2 linked regions of the Schizosaccharomyces pombe genome follow. The main gene of each other region encodes a partner of the protein of the gene in region 2 in a complex. Each region holds a gene or a part of one and is shown on either strand. Other genes may lie near its edges. The genes, in order: clr6 and pst2. A codon is read from its position in the direction of its gene.

What was found.
Region 1: the proteins of pst2 (region 2) and clr6 are in contact, whole or in part, in a cryo-EM structure (PDB 8I02), measured with the Schizosaccharomyces pombe proteins. Residues at the interface, in NP_593646.1 of Schizosaccharomyces pombe: Val132 (codon at 3,523), Pro139 (codon at 3,502), Cys140 (codon at 3,499), His143 (codon at 3,490), Ser213 (codon at 3,280), Lys214 (codon at 3,277), Pro215 (codon at 3,274), Pro216 (codon at 3,271), Leu217 (codon at 3,268), Gly218 (codon at 3,265), Ser219 (codon at 3,262), Phe220 (codon at 3,259), Pro221 (codon at 3,256), Ile225 (codon at 3,244), Gln226 (codon at 3,241), Ser227 (codon at 3,238), Ser228 (codon at 3,235), Gln229 (codon at 3,232), Phe230 (codon at 3,229), Asn328 (codon at 2,935), Ser329 (codon at 2,932), Asp333 (codon at 2,920), Glu336 (codon at 2,911), Cys337 (codon at 2,908), Gly338 (codon at 2,905), Pro339 (codon at 2,902), Ser340 (codon at 2,899), Tyr341 (codon at 2,896), Leu344 (codon at 2,887), Glu348 (codon at 2,875); in NP_595333.1 of Schizosaccharomyces pombe: Glu14 (codon at 2,629), Asp15 (codon at 2,584), Asn18 (codon at 2,575), Tyr19 (codon at 2,572), His20 (codon at 2,569), Pro23 (codon at 2,560), Gln24 (codon at 2,557), Lys28 (codon at 2,545), His30 (codon at 2,539), Arg33 (codon at 2,530), Arg55 (codon at 2,377), Asn59 (codon at 2,365), Thr62 (codon at 2,356), Arg63 (codon at 2,353), Cys64 (codon at 2,350), His65 (codon at 2,347), Thr66 (codon at 2,344), Asp67 (codon at 2,341), Glu68 (codon at 2,338), Asp96 (codon at 2,211), Asp101 (codon at 2,196), Gly102 (codon at 2,151), Glu105 (codon at 2,142), His138 (codon at 1,898), Lys140 (codon at 1,892), Lys141 (codon at 1,889), Arg142 (codon at 1,886), Ser145 (codon at 1,877), Gly146 (codon at 1,874), Phe147 (codon at 1,871).

The regions. Positions count from the first base shown.
Region 1 is NC_003423.3:848,691-853,544, forward strand, and holds clr6 (class 1 histone deacetylase Clr6), read right to left. Parts: upstream 2,787-4,854; 5' UTR 2,669-2,786; coding exon 2,629-2,668; exon of another isoform or gene 2,587-2,628; coding exon 2,525-2,586; exon of another isoform or gene 2,480-2,524; coding exon 2,429-2,479; exon of another isoform or gene 2,387-2,428; coding exon 2,269-2,386; exon of another isoform or gene 2,226-2,268; coding exon 2,195-2,225; exon of another isoform or gene 2,153-2,194; coding exon 2,109-2,152; exon of another isoform or gene 2,019-2,108; coding exon 1,973-2,018; exon of another isoform or gene 1,918-1,972; coding exon 1,683-1,917; exon of another isoform or gene 1,637-1,682; coding exon 1,544-1,636; exon of another isoform or gene 1,499-1,543; coding exon 1,390-1,498; exon of another isoform or gene 1,346-1,389; coding exon 1,205-1,345; exon of another isoform or gene 1,165-1,204; coding exon 1,056-1,164; exon of another isoform or gene 1,014-1,055; intron 1,009-1,013; coding exon 950-1,008; intron 899-949; coding exon 819-898; 3' UTR 655-818; downstream 1-654. Other genes in the region: cys11 (cysteine synthase), read left to right, coding at 1-495; spo9 (ER farnesyl pyrophosphate synthetase Erg20), read right to left, coding at 3,335-3,916, 3,957-4,157, 4,226-4,363, 4,413-4,547. UniProt on the Schizosaccharomyces pombe protein: Responsible for the deacetylation of lysine residues on the N-terminal part of the core histones (H2A, H2B, H3 and H4).
Region 2 is NC_003424.3:2,158,218-2,164,611, reverse strand, and holds pst2 (Clr6 histone deacetylase complex subunit Pst2), read right to left. Parts: upstream 4,127-6,394; 5' UTR 4,041-4,126; coding exon 4,010-4,040; exon of another isoform or gene 3,964-4,009; coding exon 3,783-3,963; exon of another isoform or gene 3,705-3,782; coding exon 689-3,704; 3' UTR 534-688; downstream 1-533. Other genes in the region: Polo kinase Plo1, read right to left, coding at 1-372; ER zinc importer, CDF family, Zhf1, read right to left, coding at 4,637-5,800. UniProt on the Schizosaccharomyces pombe protein: Has a role in chromatin assembly and chromosome segregation. Involved in the deacetylation of histones.

The sequences.
Region 1 (4,854 bases), on a different chromosome or scaffold from region 2:
TCTACTGGTACTGGTGGTACTTTTGCCGGCGTTACCAAGTATTTGAAGGAGAAGTCCGACGGTCGTGTTGCTTCTTTCGTGGCTGATCCCCCTGGAAGTGTTTTGTATAGCCATATCAAAACGAAGGGTAAGCATCCTGACAACAAGGGTTCTTCATTTACCGAAGGCATTGGTCAAGGTCGTATTACTGGAAATGTCCAACCTGTTTACGATCTCATTGACGATGCTATGAAAATCCCTGACGAAAAATCTATTAACATGTTCTTTCGTTTGTTAGACCAAGAAGGTCTTTTCTTGGGCGGCTCTTCTTGCTTAAATGTGGTCGCTGCTGTTGAAATGGCTAAAATATTAGGTCCTGGCAAGACGGTGGTTACAATTCTTTGTGATTCTGGTCACAAGTATGCCACTCGTTTATTCAGTCGCTCATTCCTTGAAAGTAAAAAATTATTTGATGTAATTGAGCCACAATACAAGAAGTATATTGTACTTCCTTAATTGTTTTGACCTTTTACTTCGGATAGACATATAATTACTACTACCTTGTGATTTCCGTTTCTTCTTTCTTTGTGCGTTAATTTTTTGGCTATTCCTTTTTTTTTAAAACCACAAGTCACATCTAGAGTATAGAATATAAAGTGTTTGTTATTATATGTAATGAGCATTTTCAATTTAATGCTGAAGTCTAATTATGCTGGAGAATTCTTATAAATAAGGGTATTTAAACATAATAGCTTTTATAGTATTCATGATTCAAATAACACAAAAAAACCGAGTATAATGGATTCAAACACCATGAACATACAAAATTTTATATAGGTCTATACGCGCTCATCCATAATCTCTTCTTTCGCAATGTTCTGCTTTTCGGCATTTTCAAACGTAAAGTCACCGGGAGTTTCTAATGTAAGAGTATTTGTTAGCACATTTTTCGATAACCGCTTATACTTACTATGCATTTGAACGCTAGGTGCAAAAGATAAGTTTCTCAAATTTTCGATGATTTCAGAGCTAAATTTGGTCAGCCTCGTAAGAATAAAACTCAAAAGGTAGCATACGTTATCGAATCAAGATACTGCCGAGTGTTATGGTTTTCCATATTGTTTGAAAGAACATTGAGCTTGTAATCGGGACCGTAATATTGTAAATAGTCATTATAAGGAAGGTCTTGGATGGGTTAATAAACAATTTACGTATTGGTACTTACTTTCATCAAGCTCTTCGCCGGCTAAAAGACCAGTTTCATAAGTCCAGACACGGGCAACATTCCGTACAGTATATCCACCTCCTCCAACGCATATCATTGGCAAATTAAAGCTCTTAACAAAATCAACGCACATTGAATGTCCTGTTGAGGGGAATTAGTAAAAACGAGAAACAGTAGTTACTTACCCTTCATTGACAGATTGAAGCAGCCTAGTCGATCACCAGCGAGAGAATCTGTTCCACATTGTAAAATAACAGCTTCCGGTCGAAACCATTGCATTATGTGACTTATAACCTAATTCAGATTGTTAGAACAAAGAAATTTATAAAAAAGACTTACAGGCTTAAATACGCTTTCATAAGATTCATCGTCAATACCATCTCTCAAAGGAACGTTAACAGCATAGTTTTTTCCTGTTCCAATTCCGGTGTCCTAAAATATTAGAAAAGTAAATCCAAATATAAAGCCGCATGCATACCTTGATATGACCGGTTCCTGGAAAATATTCACCGAATTTGTGGAATGAACAAGTCATAACGCGATCCGTAGTGTAGAAAAATTCTTCTACACCGTCTCCGTGGTGAACATCAATATCAATGTAAAGAACACGTTGATGATATTTCAGCAATTCTAAAGCAGCCAACGCGATATCATTAACATAGCAGAAACCAGAAGCTTCACGTTTTTTAGCGTGATGTAGGCCTCCAGCCCAACTTAATTAAGTGGTTAGTTGATCTTCAAAGTACTAAAAAATCCTCAATAACATACTTAATAGCAATTTCTGCGTTTCCCGAGTTAAGTTCTTGAGCAGCACCTAAACCAATGTTAGTTAAAGTCCTATACTCCATTCACAAATTCAGCGGATGCTTCAAAGCCCCTTTTTTGGGAAAAACTTTTATCTTACCAATTGAACCGCCAGCAGAAATTGAACAAAATTCGTACAGCCCACTAAACAATTGTTAGTATAAAAAATTTGATAAACGCACATACTCAAAAACAGGACAATCATCACCGACGTTAACTAAAATCACGGTTATTTATAAATAATCGAAATGAAATCTTACATTTCAGCTGATGCGGTTGAAATTTTTCCATCGTGTCAGGTGTAACTCTCCAAAGAAATTCAATATACTCATCGGTATGACAACGAGTCATGTCATTCCTTGTTGCTCTAACAGGTGTCTTGTATACTTTATTAGTATAAAAAGGAGAAATAGAACTTACAATAACGTTCAACTTCTCATACAAGTTGTAATTAACGACCAGATTATGAACCTAAGTAGGTTAATGATGATAAATAGTTATAGCTTTATATCATACCATGCGAACGCGATGAGGCTTCATTGGATGCTGAGGACCATAGTGATAATTTCCAACATCCTCTATTTCAAAAATTAGCTAGGATCTTACTAGTTTACACGTACCATCATAGAAATAAGAAACCTTTTTCTTCCCGAACCCCATAGTTTCAAATAGGATTTTCTTTCCCAATTATTTAATAAGGCAAACAGTTTCCTTATGTTATCAATTAAAAATGTTAGGTTCGGAGCGCTTTCGCGTAGAATTGTTGCTATGATGGAGTGGTCAGAAGCTGAAGCAGCAGCCTGGTTCTATTGAATATTTCTCCCATCCACGAACTAGTGTTTCAAGATCTTAAATAAGTAACGATTAATTGTTCAATTTAAGTAAAATACTGTTATAACAAAAAGGACTAACCTTGGAATGTCTATTAAAATGTGCTGTATGTTTTTTTCAGTGACAGTTTTTGCATTTTCTCAAATGAGCAATATAATAATTCTTTCATAACCAATCCAATTAACAACGATCGTCAATGTCATTTGATGTTATTATTATACTACTCACCAAATGTTTACATCTACATAATCTAAATCTTGCTTAGTTTCCCAAGTAGAGTAATGTATCAACCAGATAATCATTAAAAAAGTAAATTCTGAATGCAGATCTTTAACAATAATGAAAAAAACCATAAATGCTATAATGATATGAAACCTTAAGAATAACCCTAAATACAAATCGTCGATCAGTATCATAAAGAATTTGGAAGGTCATCAAATAATAAATTTTAAATAAGGAAGAAGATAATAACGGTTATTTAAAATGAAATGACTGCTACCGTGACCTTTTGTAAATGAGCTGAAAAAACTTAGTAAATATACACTTTTTCAATCCAGTAGATTCATCAATCAAATCAATTTCTTTGGATATAGAATCCACCATGTCATCTTCAAATTTGTGATATAATTCAGGTATTTGAAGCTCATGATAAAGCTGCTTTATTACAGCTATGTTTTCAGACCCTGCTTTTCCATAATGAGCACGAAGAAGATTCAGCTGATCCGCAGAGGCAAATTTTTCAGCATAACAAACTAGCCATGTGCATTTATTGTCTTGTATGTCCATTCCCACTTTACCCAAAACCGTGTAATCACCGAAACAATCTAAGTAGTCATCTTGGACTTGGAAATAATAACCAAGAAGTTTTGAAAGCTTTATAGTCGTATCATACGCCTTTTGATTCGAATTGCGAGACAACAATAAAGCACATTTAATAGGAAGGTAAAAGGAATAAAATGATGTTTTATAAGTGATAATAAAGTCATATTTCATTAAATCAAAAGATCGTAACGAGGCTTCTCCGTCTCGTGATGAAAGCAAATCTTCTTGTTGCCCCAACTCGGTGAGAAAAGTAACCTTGAAAGTAAGCTTTTTAGTTGAATTTATTGTAACATACCTCTCGGAAAGTATCCAATAAATCGACATAGTATGGCATATTTCTGAAATACTTTCGAATTAAAAGTGGAATACATGCTTCTAGTAATTGTGACTCATTAATTGCCCTTCGTACACCAACTACCAAATACCAACAATCTAAACCACGTCGTTTGATAGACTGATCCATAATATCATCTGCCATTAAAAAGCAACCTTGCAACTGAACATCCGTCAGTACCCCAGTGATTTTACGTAAACAAATCTGAATTAAAAAACCAGTTTACTTACAATTTCAATTAGCCAACCTAGGAGAGCAGCGTCGCGAAATTCTGCTTCTTCAAGTTCTCGATTAATAAGGCTTGTTAAAGATTGCAAAACTGCCAGTCCTCGATTATTCTTTCCTCCTAACGTATTTCTCTTTATGGACTAAATGAAGGTTAGCTGTCGCGTTATAAAGGCAAGATAATCAACTTACATATAACAGCTTCTCGGTTTCTTCGGGGAAGTATTGCATGCTTTCTAAGATTTCACGAATTCCTTCGAGAACGACTGGGAAGAAATCTAGAAGTCTTTTCTTAATGCCATTTTTTTCATTAAAATCGTTGACCATTTTAGTATTTTTAATTGTACATGTATAAGAACCAGCTTGGTATAAGACTGAGAACTAGCACAGGTCTTCTATGAGAAAATATTATTTAAAATGACAAATAACCACAATTCTTGAATATAAAATTTGCAAATTACGCGTGAAAGCGCGTTACAAATTTATCTCGTTTTTAAGAATCAAGTATATCGATCAAAAACACTATACTTATTTGAAACATCTATTTGGTCCTAAATTTTCAAGACAATTAGGATGTTTATCTAATGCTTAAAGTTTAGTAGAAATATAGATTTAGGACTCCTTTGGTGGTGAG
Region 2 (6,394 bases):
AGATTTATGTTCACAAAGCTCCAAAATTAAGTAAATATTCGTCGAATCTTCAAAACAATCTATAAATCCTACGATGTTTGGATGACTCATGGATTGGTGCACCTTTATTTCTCCAAAGAGCTTCAGCTTTGTTTTATCATTTTGTAGTGACCTTTTAGCAATAACTTTAGCAGCGTAAATATTTCCATAATTATCTTTGACTCGAAAACATCTCGCAAAGCCGCCTTCACCAATGCAATCGTAGCGAGTGTAGAATATATTTTTTTTATTATTATGAAGATTAGTTGGCGGAGTAAAGCAAAGACGAGAGGCTTTGGACTTCTTCTTCGGGGTTATAGCAGTTTTGGGCTCTTTAATTGCAACACTCGCCATTTGGTATTTGTTTCTAACAAAACGCAGGTGGTAACTTTTGAGGGTAAACAAAGTGGTTGCTACGACAACCGCTTGTTTGTAAATAAAAATCTGTGCATTGTAATATTTTATGTAGTAATTACAGAAGTACGGCTTTAGAAAATTTAATACAAAGCTTATGTGCAAAAATTTCAGTAAATTCGTACTATACATAAATCCTTGAAATTATAAAATACCTAGAAAGATAAGTTATGTTAACAAAGTAATATAAAACTATTAAAGTCAAATTGTATTTAAGTAAATATGATCAATAGGTAGGTCGACTGCATTAAAATCATTATGGGATAAATAGTGCATTAATGTCAGCATCAAAATTCACCTCTGCCGTGTTGTCAGAAGTTCCCCTAACCGATTTTAATAACGATTCCCATCGATTTCTCCAACGCTGTTTTCTTTTATTCTGGCAATCAAGGAAGTCGGTATCTCTAAGGCGCAGGTAAGATGCATCTATGTAAGAATCTTCTGTGCGTGGTAAGTAGAGCAATTTAAACGAGTCTAAACATAATTTTGCTTGCAATCCGGAAACCAATTCTGCAGATCTTAATAACTTTGTTTGAAGGCGTGAAACCAATTGCTCAACTGTTCTTTCTTTCTCTATATTTCTGCAAAGAAAGGGACAACGATAATTTTTATAAGATATTTCTTCAGTAAGTTTTTGTATACGATAATTTTGAACATATTTTTTCCAAACTCGTCTCTGTGTATCCAAACTTTGATCCACAATAAGATTCGCTCGCTTCATTATTTTGATTCCAAATGATTTAAATTTGTTTATCCAACAAAATCGAAACAAAATTTCATCAGGATTCAAAAGCTTTTCAATTTCCAAGCGATAAAGAAAGTCATCATAATTCTTCTTAGGCGAAGCAGAACTATTTTGTTCGACTAAACTAGTAACGAATTTGTATTTTCCATCGGAAACGATGTGGTGGACTTGTTTAGCAGCAGACCAAACGAGTTTATCAATAGTATATATTTTATAGGCTTTATTGCCATAATAAAACCGCAGATAGTCCTCGAAGGCACTTTGATCAACTATCCCATATATTAATCGAAGAATCATCACATAAGTATTTTCGTAATGAGTTTTTTCATCAGGGACATCTGAAAGATCATTCCACCTATCGCGCCAAATCTTTTGTTTTTGAGATACTGGGTTTGGTATTATACGCTGTTGGATAATGGACACTTGATCCTCCAAACGCTGAAGCTCATAAAGCCTTTCGTATAATAAGTTAAAAAGTCTAAAAAATACGTACATAGAAGAATATCCAAACTGTTCTTTATCGACGTCGTCATGCATTTCATTCTCCGTATCACCAGCATGATCTTGATGTTCCAAAAGACTATCTGGATGACTTGGATATTTGAGACTGGCTTTAATGGCTGCAGCAGGTTGTGAAAGCTGTTTCTTAGAAACCGGCGTTACGTTTCCAGATTCATCACTTAAAGAGTTTTGAGAGTTAGATTGTGATTTGTTACCGGATTCTTCTTTTTTGCGAGCAGCTGCAGCTGAACGACTTTCGCGTTGACCATTGATTTTAGGTTGTTTTACAAATTCCGTCAACTGGGTTATAGAATTAGATCTTTTCCGACGTACAGGCTTGTTACCAACTATATTCGGGGCATTCACATCGTAATCAGGACCACGAAAAACTTGATCCAGGAATATCGAAAATTTATCCTTTTCAAGACCAAAATGTAAAGGCAATATATTCTTGAAAAAATGCTCAACTTTCTTTAAACCAGAGGGAGAGTTACATACAATGTATGTGCATACCATATAACAAGTATCAAAAAGTACTATTTCGTTGTCATATACAAAAGAAAATTCGAAAGCTGATCTACTTCGCAAAGGAAAATGGAGCTTCGCTTGCGATCGTAGAATGTCGGCTTCTGCTAAGAGAAACTTTGAAGATACATTCTTCTTATCTCTTGCCTTAAAATAAACGCATTGTGAATCTAAGCTCTTATCGTAATTTTTAAACTCAATACTTCGCCATCCAGGTTGAAGACTTCTTTTAACAGACTTCCACTCTTCGTTTTTTTCTTCTAATCTGCTGATTACCAATGGTAATGTGAGGCAAGGCATTCTTTCCAAGGCCTTAAACATTTCCTCTGCATGCTCACTGGTATAAACAAGCTTAATAGTTTTCTTGTATATACTTTTTGATGGTAAACCTAGCCCTTCCTCGAGAGTATATGTTTCTCTTTCCTCTTCCGGCAATTCATTTATACGGTTCTGAATTTTTTTAAGAGACTTGATTGTCCAGGAAGTAGCTTCAATATGCCGATCAAATTCATAACGTTCCTCTTCCAACTTTGTCATTGCCTCTTCATAAGGCGTTTTCCTCTGAACAATGAAACCGCTTTCTTCAGATGCCCAAGTTGGATGACTGACCCAGTCATCATTAAGTATACCCCATGCAAAATCATCTCTACCGCTGCAAGAAATATTGCGTTCTTCGACAGGAAGCAATCGGTAACTCGGGCCACATTCCGGGAAGTCTGAGCAAGCGGAATTGTATACAGATAAAAACTCTTCCGGACTCAAACTAGTAAGGCTTAAAAAGCTTCTCCAAAGTCCCGAATTCGATTTAAGAAACCCAAACCCACGACTCACCAGAATATTTCTATCAATTATCCCTTGAACGTACAAATTCAGGAGTTTTAAAAATTCGTGGTAAGTTTCTACATCGGTAAGTACATTTTTCACATTTTTGAAAAAGTCACTGCTCTCATTTGATAAATGTGAAAATGGTGAGAGGTTGTCCGGCCTTGATTGACTAAGCAAATCAGAAATATTACTCAACGTAAATTGGGAACTCTGAATTCCTCTTAATGGAAACGATCCTAGAGGAGGTTTACTCCCAAAAAAGATGGAGCTTGGTAAAAAGTTGTGAAACTCGTGGGCTAAAGATGGATGCTCCGCTAGCAAAGACGTTACAATAGTCTGAAGCTCAGAAAGCGAACACTCAGAGTTTTTAAACTTACGAAGACTATCCTGTAATTTAAAGAACTGTTCGGGATTGCTCAATAATGCTCGTCGAACTCGTGAAACAAATCCTATAGCTCTATGATAGGTACAAGGTAAGTCGTTGTAAGTAGCTACATAAGTAGACGGTGTAGAAACTGGACCAGATGGGGTGGTAAATTGCAATGTGAAGTTGGCACCGCTATTCGATAAAAGGTATTTATAAGACGAGGGCAAAAAGATGTTCAAATATTCTAAAAGATCTGGGTAATCTCTTAAGATTACAGATATTCTTTCAATAAACCCGGGAAAATCGACACTAATGTTCATGTTAATAAGTGAATAGTAATAAAAAAAGAGCTATCTCAAAGCAACTCAGTAAATAAGCCATATATACATTTCATTGTGTAAAGCCTTCACAACATCCATGAAAGCGCTATAAACATAAGGACGATGACACAGTCTTTGACCCAACTTTTGAACGAATGCCTTTATATCAAGCTCGGGGAGTGCGGTACCATTAGGGGAAAAATCATGGACTAATTGATTCTGCATCTCGGCCACTAACGTTGAGTTGTCTAACAACATTGGTTAAAATGAGTTATGTATTAAATTGATACGTACCATTTTTTAATATCGCTAGTGTTTGTTCCATGTATTTTGATCTTTAACCATCAAATGACTAGGAATACGATCTCGTTTATTTTGGAGGTGATGATTTGGGAAACGGCAAATGCAACTAAGCGCACAAACTCGTCAACGCATTACATGAACTGACGCTGATAGCCAAAGTTCAAATGATTTATCAAGACATGAACACAAATACCACATTGGATGGTGTTTTACACTTACAACGAATACTTTAGAAAAAATACTAACGAGAAGAATCAAACCCAATATAATTGTTAAAAAATATTCCTTTTAAATAATTAAACACTACATCTAAACATTATTTTCTAAGAATAATAGAGATTTAATAAAACCGAAACTATGCATCGTCTTCATCAAGAATAAGAAATCGAAAACTATCTACTTTCAAAGTTAAGTTGTCGACTACTTTACTTAAGTGCATTCGCAAAACAAACAACCAAGATGGTGAAATAAAGTTTTTAAATACGAACAGGAATGGCAGAAGAAATTACGCTTTAAAAATGAAACAAAGTAAACATTCAATATAAAATTTTACCTCAAGAATAAATCAAAAGATGTGACACAATAGATTAACCACGTTAAATTTATAATGTTCGCAAACTAAGACGAGGAACCTTGGTCACATAAAAGCGGATGATTGGCGAATTCTGGTTGAATGGTAACATCATATATACCAAAAGATTGAAGGACATTACGGATATCCGTAGTAAGCTTTGTATAAGACTCTCCCTTATCATCAGGAAGTGTAACGCAGACATGAACAGTGGCAATTAATTTAACGTCCGAAAGCTGCCAGATGTGGAGTTCATGAACAGATTCCACGCCGTCTAGATGATTAATTAGGTTGGAAACATCATCCAGTTTGATGCTTTGAGGAGCAACTTGTAATAAGATGAGAGCAGCGGATTTACAGAGAGGAATTGCGCTAAAAAGAATAATGAAAGTAAGAAGGATACTAATGCATGGGTCAAAGAGGAAACGCCAAGAATAGTCAGTATACTTGATGAATAAAGCAGCACTAATAACACCAATATTACCGAGAGCATCACCCAAGACATGAAGAAAGACACCATGCATATTCAAATTTCGTTTCTTCGTTTGTTTTGGTGCATCTTGTTCAATACTGCCATGGTTGTTGACTGGCTTTGAAGTACCAGCACCATTATGATTACCAGTGTAACTCAATAAAGGAGAAGATTCGGTAGCAGAGTCTGCGACTTGAGTGTGTGTATGGCTGACTTCTTGTTGACTGGTATTACAACGATGAACGATAGTCGAAGGTAAAACGGATTCAATATCATCTTCTTCAGGAAAATCGTAATTTTGAGCGGTATGGGTGTGAGGATGATCATGACCATGGTCATGAAATAAAAAGATACCAACGAAATTGCTTAGCAGACCTAAAGAACCAACAAAGAACATAAGGGTGGGATTGCTGACAGAAGGAGGCTCAATGAAGCGCTCTATGGCTTCCATAAAAATGAACATGCAAAGGGCAATGAGAAATACACCGTTCGACAAAGCACCTAAAATCTCTGCACGTTGCCAGCCATATGTGTATTTTGGTTCGTGAGATGTTGAATGTGCTAGACGAGTAGCCCAGAGAGCGACCAGTAAACTGACAATGTCATTTAACATATGAAATGAATCAGCAATTAGGGCAAGTGAATCGATCGCATAACCAGTAATAATTTCGATGAAGAAAAAAGTAACATCAATACCTAATAAAAGGATAATCCGAGTTTGTCTTGCGAGGTCGAACATAGTTTGAAAACGAAAAGTCACCAATTTCAAAAAAATGGTAAGGGTTGAATTTCACAGGGAGAAAAAGGAATAAGGTAAATTTAGAATGAAAGGTGGCTTTTTAAAAATGAATTTAAATAAAAGAGGCGCAAACTTGCTATATTTAACAAAAAAAAAAGCCAAAATAAGACGAAGATGCGAGAGGGTTTAAGAAAATCTAAAGAATCAAATATCTGTAATTTTGCTTTCCTTGTTTTTACAGAATAAATTAATTAAACCAATAAACCTTCAAAAAACTGCCAAAACTGCCGTTTTTGATAGTAAATTAAAAAGGAGGCTTTTGAGAAGTAAGCGGTGAAGAAAAAATAAAATCACACGTTGACTACTATTAGTCTGCTTTAACAAAGTTTTGTAAGTGACTGGCCACTAATCGCGTTTACCACAAAAGGAACTAACAAAGACTACCTTTTGAAATTTTCTTTCAATTCGGTGTTAAGAATAAACGCACAAATTAGTCAAAATAGTTAGAAGATCAAATTTTGCGATCGAAAATATTTATCTGATAATAATTGATATCGTAAAAGTGACTATTATTATTCGTAATCAGATACAACG